Sus scrofa: one gene and its partner. The protein of the gene in region 1 interacts with the protein of each later gene in a pairwise test. Links are inferred from orthologs where the notes say so. Each region holds a gene or a part of one and is shown in the gene's direction. Other genes may lie near its edges.

Region 1 (4,433 bases):
CGACCACGGCTCGAGCAATGCCAGCCCAGGCGTGATCCAGCTTGAAGCCAGGTGCCAGGTGTATCAGCCATTTGCCCGAGAGCACGTGGTGGGTGATGGCCAGCTGGCGCAGGGTACCTGGTGTGACGGGGCGCCCGCTGGTCTGCAGAGCCTCCCAGGCTGCCTGCAGGCCCTGCACGTCGCCTGAGTTGGGGACATAGCCCTGCCCATATGCTGCAATCCAGCCCACGGGCTCAGAGTTGGGAGAGCCAGGGTCCCCATAGCGGGTAACCTGGGATGGTGGGTACTTGGCCAACCAGGCATCCAGCTCCGTGGCAGGTGTGGTTCGGGCATCAAACACCAGCCAGGGGTCCATGTCAGCTGCCATGGCCTCTGCGGCCAGGTGCTCAGCAGTGAAGCCATCTTCACGACCACCTGGAGAATCTTCATCCTCCAGCTCCTCGCCTGGTTCCATCCTGCCGGGTGGGAACCAAGTTAGGGCAGGTCCAGGACAGATCCAGCTTCCTGGGCCTGAGCACGTAGGTGCCAGGCACTGAACTAATCCCTGCGGCCTTGGGCAAAACTTAATGTCTCTGTGCCTCAGTTGCCTCATCTGTACAATGAAAAATAGCTGCTCCCGTCTCAAACAGCTGTAGAGAATTAAATACTAGGAGGTGGAACAAGAACTATATAAATGCTGTTACTATTATCACTACTATCCTTGACCTACAGAGTAGGAAACTGAAGCTCACAGAGGAGGGGGCTTACCCAAGGTCACACCTGCAGTGCGTGAAAGGGCCGAAAAGTGAACTCGGGTGTGGGGGCCGCCGGCCCAGCTGCGGCTCCCGACGCTGCCAAGGCAGGCGGGTCTCCCGGGCGCTGGGATGTAATGGAACGAGGCACCCCGACAGGCCCCACAGGGCCAGGCCTCCAGGCGGGCGTTATCCCGCCTACTTAAAGACGAAGACATGCAGGCCAGAGAGGGCAGTGACCAATCCGAGGCCAACGGGCCGAGCCCGGACTCGAACCCAGGCTTGTTAGAGCCTGCGGGAGGGCCAGCCTCCCGCCCCGCCGCGCCCGCCGCGCCCGCCGCCATTAGTGCTCACGGCCCGAGCAGCGCCCCTGCCCCGCCCCGCCCTGCCCCCTCCCGCCGCCCGGGCGTCACCTCCGGCCTTCGCTGCGCTCGGCGCCGGCCCAGCCCCGGGCCCGGCTCCGCTCCTGCCGGGGCTCCGCGCCGCCGCCGCCGCGCCCCGCCCCCGCCACGGCTGCAGCCGCCGCCGCCATCTTATTGCCCCGCCGCCTCAACAACAACTTTATAGACAAGCGCAGCATAGGGCGGGACCGGGGGGAAGGGGCAGGGCCGTCGGGGCGGTGCTGACCCCGGGGGCGGGGCCATTGGGAACGCGAGGCGGGGCGGGCCTGCGGGGGGCGGAGCTAACGTTCGCTCTTCAGGTCTTGGGGGCGGGCGGTCGCGGCCGTCCAGTCCCGGACAGACGCGCACCGGGCGGGAGGCTGTGAGGGGAGGGCGCTCGGGCCCCGCCGGCCGAGTGCTGACCGGCGGCGCTAGGACCCTGTGGGGGGAGTGGCGGGGGCGGAGGAGGCGGCACCAGGACCCGGGGGAACCGCGGCGGGCGGGCGACGAGCAGGCCCGGGGGCCGGGAGGCTGCGGGCGGCGGCGCTGGGCCCGGCGCGGCGAGAGAGGCCCCGAGATGCCGAGCAAGAAGAAGAAGTACAACGCGCGGTTCCCGCCGGTGAGCACGTGGCCGGCCTCGGGAGGAACGAGCCGGGCTCTCGGGAGGCTCCGGCCCAGGCCCGGCCAGGGAGGCGGGCGCATCGCGCCGTTCGGGGGCCCGGACGCCCCGCCCCCTTCCGTGCCCTCTCCGCGTCGGTGCCCCCCGCCCCCTTCCTCCCGGGATGCTCCCTCTCTCTGCCCCCCGCCCCGCGCACCCTTTCGGGGGCCGCGGCGACGGGGTCCGAGCTCTCTGCCCCTTCCTCAGGCACGCATCAAGAAGATAATGCAGACGGATGAAGAGATTGGGAAGGTGGCGGCAGCTGTGCCTGTCATCATCTGTATCCTGTCGAGGGCTGGCTGGGTTGAGGGAGGCGGGGGAGGCCGGCAGCCCCGGGTCGCTTTTTGGGGGCCAGGACATTGTTAGAACCCGCGTTCGCCTTGACGACCCTCAGCTCGGGCGCTCGAGCTTTTCCTGGAGTCACTGCTGAAGAAGGCCTGCCAAGTGACCCAGTCTAGAAATGCCAAGACCATGACCACATCCCACCTGTGAGTGGCTCCGATCTGGGAGGGCTCGTGTGGGGCCTCCGCCCGGAGTCCACACGCTTAGGGGAGGCTGTGCCCTGATAGGGAGGGAGGTGGGAGGCGGCTGGGCGAGGACTCAAAGGCTGGTAGGTTTGAGTTGGCAGGGACTGGGTATTCTAAGAAAGGGGGCATGGCTGGGATTGAAACGATCCAGGCTCTGTTCCCCTGACATCCAGAGAGCACTTTGCTGAGAGTACAGACATCTGTGCCTCACCTGAGTGCCATTCCCTCCCCACCTCTTCCAGGAAGCAGTGCATTGAGCTGGAGCAGCAGTTTGACTTCTTAAAGGATCTGGTGGCCTCTGTGCCTGACATGCAGGGAGATGGGGAAGACAACCACATGGACGGGGACAAGGGTCCTCGCAGGTGGGGAGTCAGTGTCCATGTGGGGAAGGCCAAGGCCCCCGGGGTTGGAGGTGTCTTGGGGGATGGCAGAGGAGTGGGGAGACCTCTGGGCAGATGGACTCCACCTTCCCGAAGGGGCCGGAAGCCAGGCGGCGGCAGCCGGAAGAACGGTGGCATGGGAAGCAAAGGCAAGGACAAGAAGCTGTCGGGGACAGACTCGGAGCAGGAGGTGAGCTGAGGCCCCAGCCCTCTGTCCTGCCTTGCAGGGTGGAGAGGGCAGCCTTGCATCAGGCCAGGCCCAGCTGGCTGGAGGCCTGGTCCCATCCTCACCTGTGACCTCTTTGTGTTGGTTGCCTTGCACATGGCGGCTGCAGAGGTCCGGCTTTCCAGTAATGGGCCCACGCCTTTCTTGTCGCCTCTGATTCCTGTCTTGTTCCCAGGATGAGTCTGAGGATACAGATACTGATGGGGAAGAGGAGACATCACAGGCCCCATCCCAGGCCAGCCAGCCCCCTGCCCACTTTCAGAGGTAAGCAGGTCGGTGGCACCCAGAGGGGGCCAGCTGGTCCCCAGCTGCCTTGTCCTTTCTGACCGCTCAGGCGCCTTGGTTCTGTTGGTTGTGGCAGATTTGGGAGACGGGACGGGAGGAACTGAAGAGGACTTAACGGCTGGGTTCTGTGCTCTCAGAAAGTCCCCTCCCCCGGGCAGGGCTGTGTGCCCTGGGTCCTTCCCTTCTCTGGGCTCGGCTCCCTGCTGGTAGAGGGCAGTGGGCTCCAGGCCTGCCTGGCTGGAGGACCGGGTGGGGCTCAGCGGGCAGGACTGGGCACAGGTGAGTGGCCTGATCTTCCTTTCCCACTTTCTGCCCTGCAGCCCCCCGACACCCTTCACGCCCTTCACCTCGACTCTGCCTCTGCCCCCAGCGCCCCAGGTCCCCGCAGCACCTGACGCAGAGGACGAAGAAGATTATGACTCCTAGCGCCCTCTGCCCCCCAGGCCACACCCCCTTTTAGCTGCTCTGGGGGGAAGAGGGTAGAGCTGTTCTTAAATTTATTAAAAAAAAAAATAAAAGGGAATTCCAGTATCCGTCCCAGCTCTTGTCCAGGGCCTAATGGCCTCCTTCCCCACACTGAGCCAGGGCCAGGGCGGCTGGGCAGCAGCTGACTGAAGGGGGCCGGGCCCGGGGTGCTGATGGCGGGAAGGTGGGCAGAGTGCTGGAGGGCCTGAGCCGGCAGGTGCCAGTCATGCCGGGAGACAGCCTGTCTTGTTGTGCCCTGTGACCCTGGGCGGGTTCCTACTCTGAGTAGCCTGTTCTTGTCTCTCTGAGGGAGACCATTCTGCCCCCTCTGGGCTGCTGCAGAGAGACAGATGGGACAGGTGACAGAGACAGCTCTTGAAAACTAGAGCTGGAGCCAGTGCCCTTGAAGGGCATGTGGGAAGGGCAGCGGGAGCAGAGGTAGGTGAGGTCATGGGGGACCTGGAAGGCCGGCTTGTGAGCCCCCAGGGGCCCTGAGCAGACCCTGGAGCTATGCATACGAGGCCGATGAGGCGGATGTGTTGTGTTCAGGGAGCAGCGGCCTGGAGAGGCCAGGGCAGCGATGGGCAGCCTAGAGGTCCGGGTTGCCCACAGACGTGAGTGCTGATGGAAGGGGCTCCTCAAGGACTCGGGTGTCTTCGCGTGGGGGTGGGGGTGGGGGTGGGGGTGGGGGTTCTCCTCTACCCAGGAGACGGGGGAGAAGAGGGTTAGGAAGATCACAGGGTCCGCTGTGATGAATTTGGGGCGCTGTGAGCCCACTGAG
Region 2 (4,473 bases), on another chromosome or scaffold:
TTAAAGCTGGAAAGTTTAATGTGGCACCGGGCCACTTGTTTAGTGGAAGTAAAGGGAACGATTCCCGGCTCTGGTTGCAAAAATCCTGCCCCCTTTGTAGTGTGTGGTGTCTGGCTCACCGCCCATCTGTGAGAGTCACAGCCGAGGGAAGTCCTACACAGACGCAGTCAGGGAAAGACAGGCAGAGAGCCTGGTTGCGCGGAGGCAAGAAGGGGCCATGGATTCTGGCAGCTCAAATATCATCTGGTTGGGAAAAGCCACATGGCATGTCGCAAATACTGTGCGGGTGGGGCATATGCAACATTTTAAGCTGGGGTGAAGGCTGGCTGGACTGAGCAGGTTGTTAAACCTAAAGCAGAGGATTGTATCTTTAGGTGAAATCTGAAAAAACGAACGGGGAGCTCGGTGACCGAGAGGGAGCGTTGTGCATGTGGCAAACTTAACAGGGGCACAAGGCGAACAGCTGGCGCTGAAAGCATACCAGGAGGTAATCGCCGTTCAGATCCACCCTGTAGCTCGAGTGTCGCCTGGCCGGCAGCTTTTGCCCTTGGTTTCCCCTTCTTAAAACTCGAGGCGCAGGCAGGCTGCACTTTGGCGGGTGAGACACTTCCACGTGCGCCAGGGGAGGGGATGGAAAAGAGAGGGAGAGCTGAGAAATCATGCGCAAGACGTGGGGAAAATACCGCGGAAAGCCCGCACTGACCTTAGCACCGAGCCCCAGCCCTAGTCCCTGCCGAGGAAAAAGCCACCCGCGGGCTCCGCTCGCGCCGCAGGACCGACTCGCGGCGGCCTGCAGCGGGCTCTGCGGGCTGCTCAGCGCACGGGGCGGGGCTGGGGGCGGGGCCGTGCCGGGGCGGGGCCGCGCCGGGCGGGCGCGCGGGAGCTGCGGAGGGAGGGTGTCGCGCCGAGGGAAGCGGCCCGCGGCGGAGGGAGGGAAGGCCGAGTCCTGGAAGCGGAGCTCCGCGCTGGGACTGGTTCCTTCGCAGCCATTTTCTGTCCAACCAAACAGCCGATTGGAGACGGGAGCCAACCAGGGCTGCATTGGAGGTTTGTGTCTCGCTTCGGCCAATGATCGCTCCTAAACCGACTCCACTTTAGCTCGAATGAAATGTCCGTCTCCTCCCGGCGCCGTCCCCGCCGCCAACGCCGCCGCGGCCGGGGGCACTTGGCTCACTCCCGCCTGCCCGCCCTCCCGCCCGGGCCGGGGCCGGGGCCGGGCCGGCGCCTGCGAGGCCTCCCCCGCTGCGGGCCCGGCTGGGAAGCGGGCGCTGGGCCGCGGCGCGGCTCTTTGTGCGCCCGGCCGAGGAGCGGCGGGACGCGGGCCAGGCCGCCTCCTGCTCGCCGCCGCCGACCTCCGGGCCCGAGGCCGAGGAGGGGGCGCCGGGGCACCGTCGGGCCCCGCTCTCGGTGGCGTCCGGGCCGGCTCCATTTTGTGTGGCGAGCCGGCTGGGGGCGGGAGGATGCAGCCTGGACCCCCGGCCCCGATCCTCCTCCTCCGCCGCGCGGGGGCTCCCGGGGAGCGCCCCTCTTCCGCCCGCCACTCCGCGGGGGCATGGCAGGGCCGGGCCGCTTTGTCTGCCCCGGCACCCCGGGCGCCGCGCGGCGGGCGGGCGTTAGGCGCGGGCCCCGGGCCTGAGCCGGCCGAGTAGGGGGGATGCCTGCCCGGGGTGTCCGCGCCGCCCAGGCGGGACCGACAGGTCGGCCGGGCGGACGGTGGGACCCGGGCCAGCCCGCGCACCTTCGTGGGGAGGAAGCGAGGTCCCCGGGAGGAAGGAGTGGATTTGGTTTCCCCGCAGTCTGGTTTACGCGTATAGAATGCAGCCATCTGGCGGCTTGCGGTCCCTGGACTTGCCCCGAAGGTGGGAAGGAAGCCTTCCGGATTGGACTAAGGTTTTAATCTTCGGTGGGAGGCGGGGAGGATATACCGGGCCTCAGGAGTAGTCTTGGAGAACAAAGAATTAGAAGAGCACCTACAAGACGAAATCTCGCCCAGAGTACTCTAAAAGATGGTTTAAGCAAGGTTAAGTAGCATATGACCTTTTAAAAAATAGCATCCCAGCCTGCATGGACTGCACGGTTCCGTGCCACGAGTCACTGGGGTGGTTTCGGCTCTCTTGTATGGAGACAAGTCAGAAATACAAAGTGATGAGGTGAACTGATCAATGTAAGTGGCATTAACAAATAGGGGGTTTTATTAGTAAAGTTTAACCAAAATTCCTTAAGAGGCAATTATTCCGTTCTCACTCTGCTCCCGTAGTTCAATTTAAGGCTTATATTGGTGCAAAACTCTGGTTGTTGATGCCAAAGAATGGAGGGTGGAGGAAGGGTCTGCTGCTTTTCTTGGATACAGATTTCTTTAAACATTAAACATATGTATGCATTGCCTTGAGCTTTCACATATATCATAACCTGCCTGTAAGAAAATATATACCATGTGAGGTGATAGTGTTTCTCTTTAATATATTGAATCTAAACATATACTGACTCAACTATTTGGGTGAGTGATTGTGGTGAGGTGTGGCACCACCCCAACCCCCAGCAAAAATACATAAATATAGACAGCTCCTGTATTTTAAGTGTTCTGAGGATCTCTCTCCTCCCCCCACGGCACCTTTAAAAAATGACACTTCTAGCTACGAGGAAGGAATTTTCTGGGCAGCTTTGGGGTTAGAGTGAAGATGATATTTGGAAAGAAATTAGAAATTGCTTTTGGGATTACAGAACAGTAGACAATGTCAGCCAGTCTTTGCTGCATGGACCCTTGTAGTAGCATTTGAAAATTCAATTTGGTGGTTAGAGTTTTTTCTGTTTGCTAGATTTCATGCTTGAATGCATATCAGTATTTTGTCTTCTTTTAAAAATTAGCACAGAAAGGATATGTCTTTGTCTCCCCCCCCTTTTTTTCCCTTGAAAAAAGGGGAAGAGCAAATGAGAATGGAAATTGTAACATCGTAATTGATGCCAATTTATTCAACTATTTATGCCTTACAGTGAGAATGAAGTGCTATTGAGATGCAATTTTAGTCCCAAATGGTGATGCTTTAAAATAATACAGGTCTTAATTGACTGTATTCTCTTTCTCTGGATGTTCTCTGGGCAACATGTATCTTCTTCCCGCTATAATCTGAGATATTTAATTGGAAAGCATTATATCCTGAGATAAACTTGTCTTCCCTTTTGAGCTTTTGAACCCTAAATCTCACTCTAAAACATAAGGAAAGCCATCAGTAAAAATTAAGTTGATAAGTGGGATATTTGTGTCTTGGGTGTTGATATGTAATTTTTGGCCTCTTGCGTATTATATAATTTGGTGTGTTGTGATGAATATTTATGATGAACATGACTAAATATAGGGCTTTGTTGGAAAAGCCGTACTTCCCCCAATAGCATGAACTTTTATAAGTCCTCCAAAATACGTCTCCCAATTTAACAAACATTTATTGGGTGCTTGCTTTTTGAACCATTTTAGAGCCATGCAGTTCATTAAATAAGAATAGTAGGTAAAATTATACATGCCTTTTTAAATTTTACTAGGAAGAATGCCTTTGGGCTATAGTTTTACACTACTGATAGATGTTTGTCTTCTAGGTTGAAATTGGCAAAGATCAGACACCTTTTTAGACAGGTGTTCTGGAGTAGCACTGACAACACGGTTCACCCAGTATTTCATGACAGTAAGTATGTTTTACTATTCTGGTTATTAATTAGATTTGAATAGTAATTAGCTGGAAACAAAATTAGACCTGATTTAGATCAGAGATTCCTGATAGGATGAATGCCTTGCAAGGCCAGACAGTAGCTCTCCTCATTCATTTTGCTTCCGTTTTTTTAGTGACTTGCATGTATTAAGTGTTTCCTTTGGGCCTCTAAGTGTTGTCGAGGCTACAGGGTGAAAGGCTGTCACAGCGCTCGAGAGGCTGTCTGTTTAACCGGGAGGACTTTAGTCAAATTGAATACTTAGAGGAGAGTCATGTGTGGAATAGGAAATGCTAGCTCTAAGGGTAGCACAAATGAAAATAAGAGAGGTGTGGTAGGCCTGGGTAGTTGGGAATGTCATGGAGGGAGCCTTTAGGGCTTGAACTGAGCCTTGACGCATGAGTAGGAATGGACAGGTAAGGGCATCACCAAAAGCAAAAGCCTGAACGCAGGGGTGAGTGCCTTAGGTTTAGTGATTGGGAAATAGATCTGCATGGTCCAGGTGGGGATTTAACAAGATAATCTAGTGAAGAGCTACCACTTGGCCTGTCTGGATACCTAGTTCTGGATCTGCTACCACATCTGTGATATGAGGCATGTCACAACTTCCTTGAGCCATGATTGCCTTACTCCTAAAACAAAAGAACTGTACCTAGTGATCCCTAAATAAAGCACATTCTAGCACAAAGATTTTTATCAACTCTGAAGATTGAGTTGCAAACTAATTTAGTTAAAGTGAAATAGGGGGATCACTCATGTAAAGCCATGAAAACTAGG

The links.
Region 2: the proteins of DRAP1 (region 1) and NFYB interact in binary tests that used the Homo sapiens proteins (3 or more experiments, as listed by UniProt). The two-hybrid records come from large-scale screens. The link is inferred for Sus scrofa from reciprocal best matches to the Homo sapiens genes DRAP1 and NFYB.

Annotation. Positions count from the first base shown.
Region 1 is NC_010444.4:6,408,910-6,413,342, reverse strand, and holds DRAP1 (dr1-associated corepressor), read left to right. Parts: upstream 1-1,407; 5' UTR 1,408-1,688; coding exon 1,689-1,730; intron 1,731-1,976; coding exon 1,977-2,049; intron 2,050-2,163; coding exon 2,164-2,257; intron 2,258-2,538; coding exon 2,539-2,866; intron 2,867-3,077; coding exon 3,078-3,166; intron 3,167-3,507; coding exon 3,508-3,613; 3' UTR 3,614-3,720; downstream 3,721-4,433. Other genes in the region: C2H11orf68 (UPF0696 protein C11orf68 homolog), read right to left, coding at 1-455, 1,145-1,311. UniProt on the Homo sapiens protein: The association of the DR1/DRAP1 heterodimer with TBP results in a functional repression of both activated and basal transcription of class II genes.
Region 2 is NC_010447.5:80,332,886-80,337,358, forward strand, and holds the start of NFYB (nuclear transcription factor Y subunit beta), read left to right. Parts: upstream 1-1,627; 5' UTR 1,628-2,164; intron 2,165-3,588; 5' UTR 3,589-3,668; coding exon 3,669-3,674; intron 3,675-4,473. UniProt on the Homo sapiens protein: Component of the sequence-specific heterotrimeric transcription factor (NF-Y) which specifically recognizes a 5'-CCAAT-3' box motif found in the promoters of its target genes.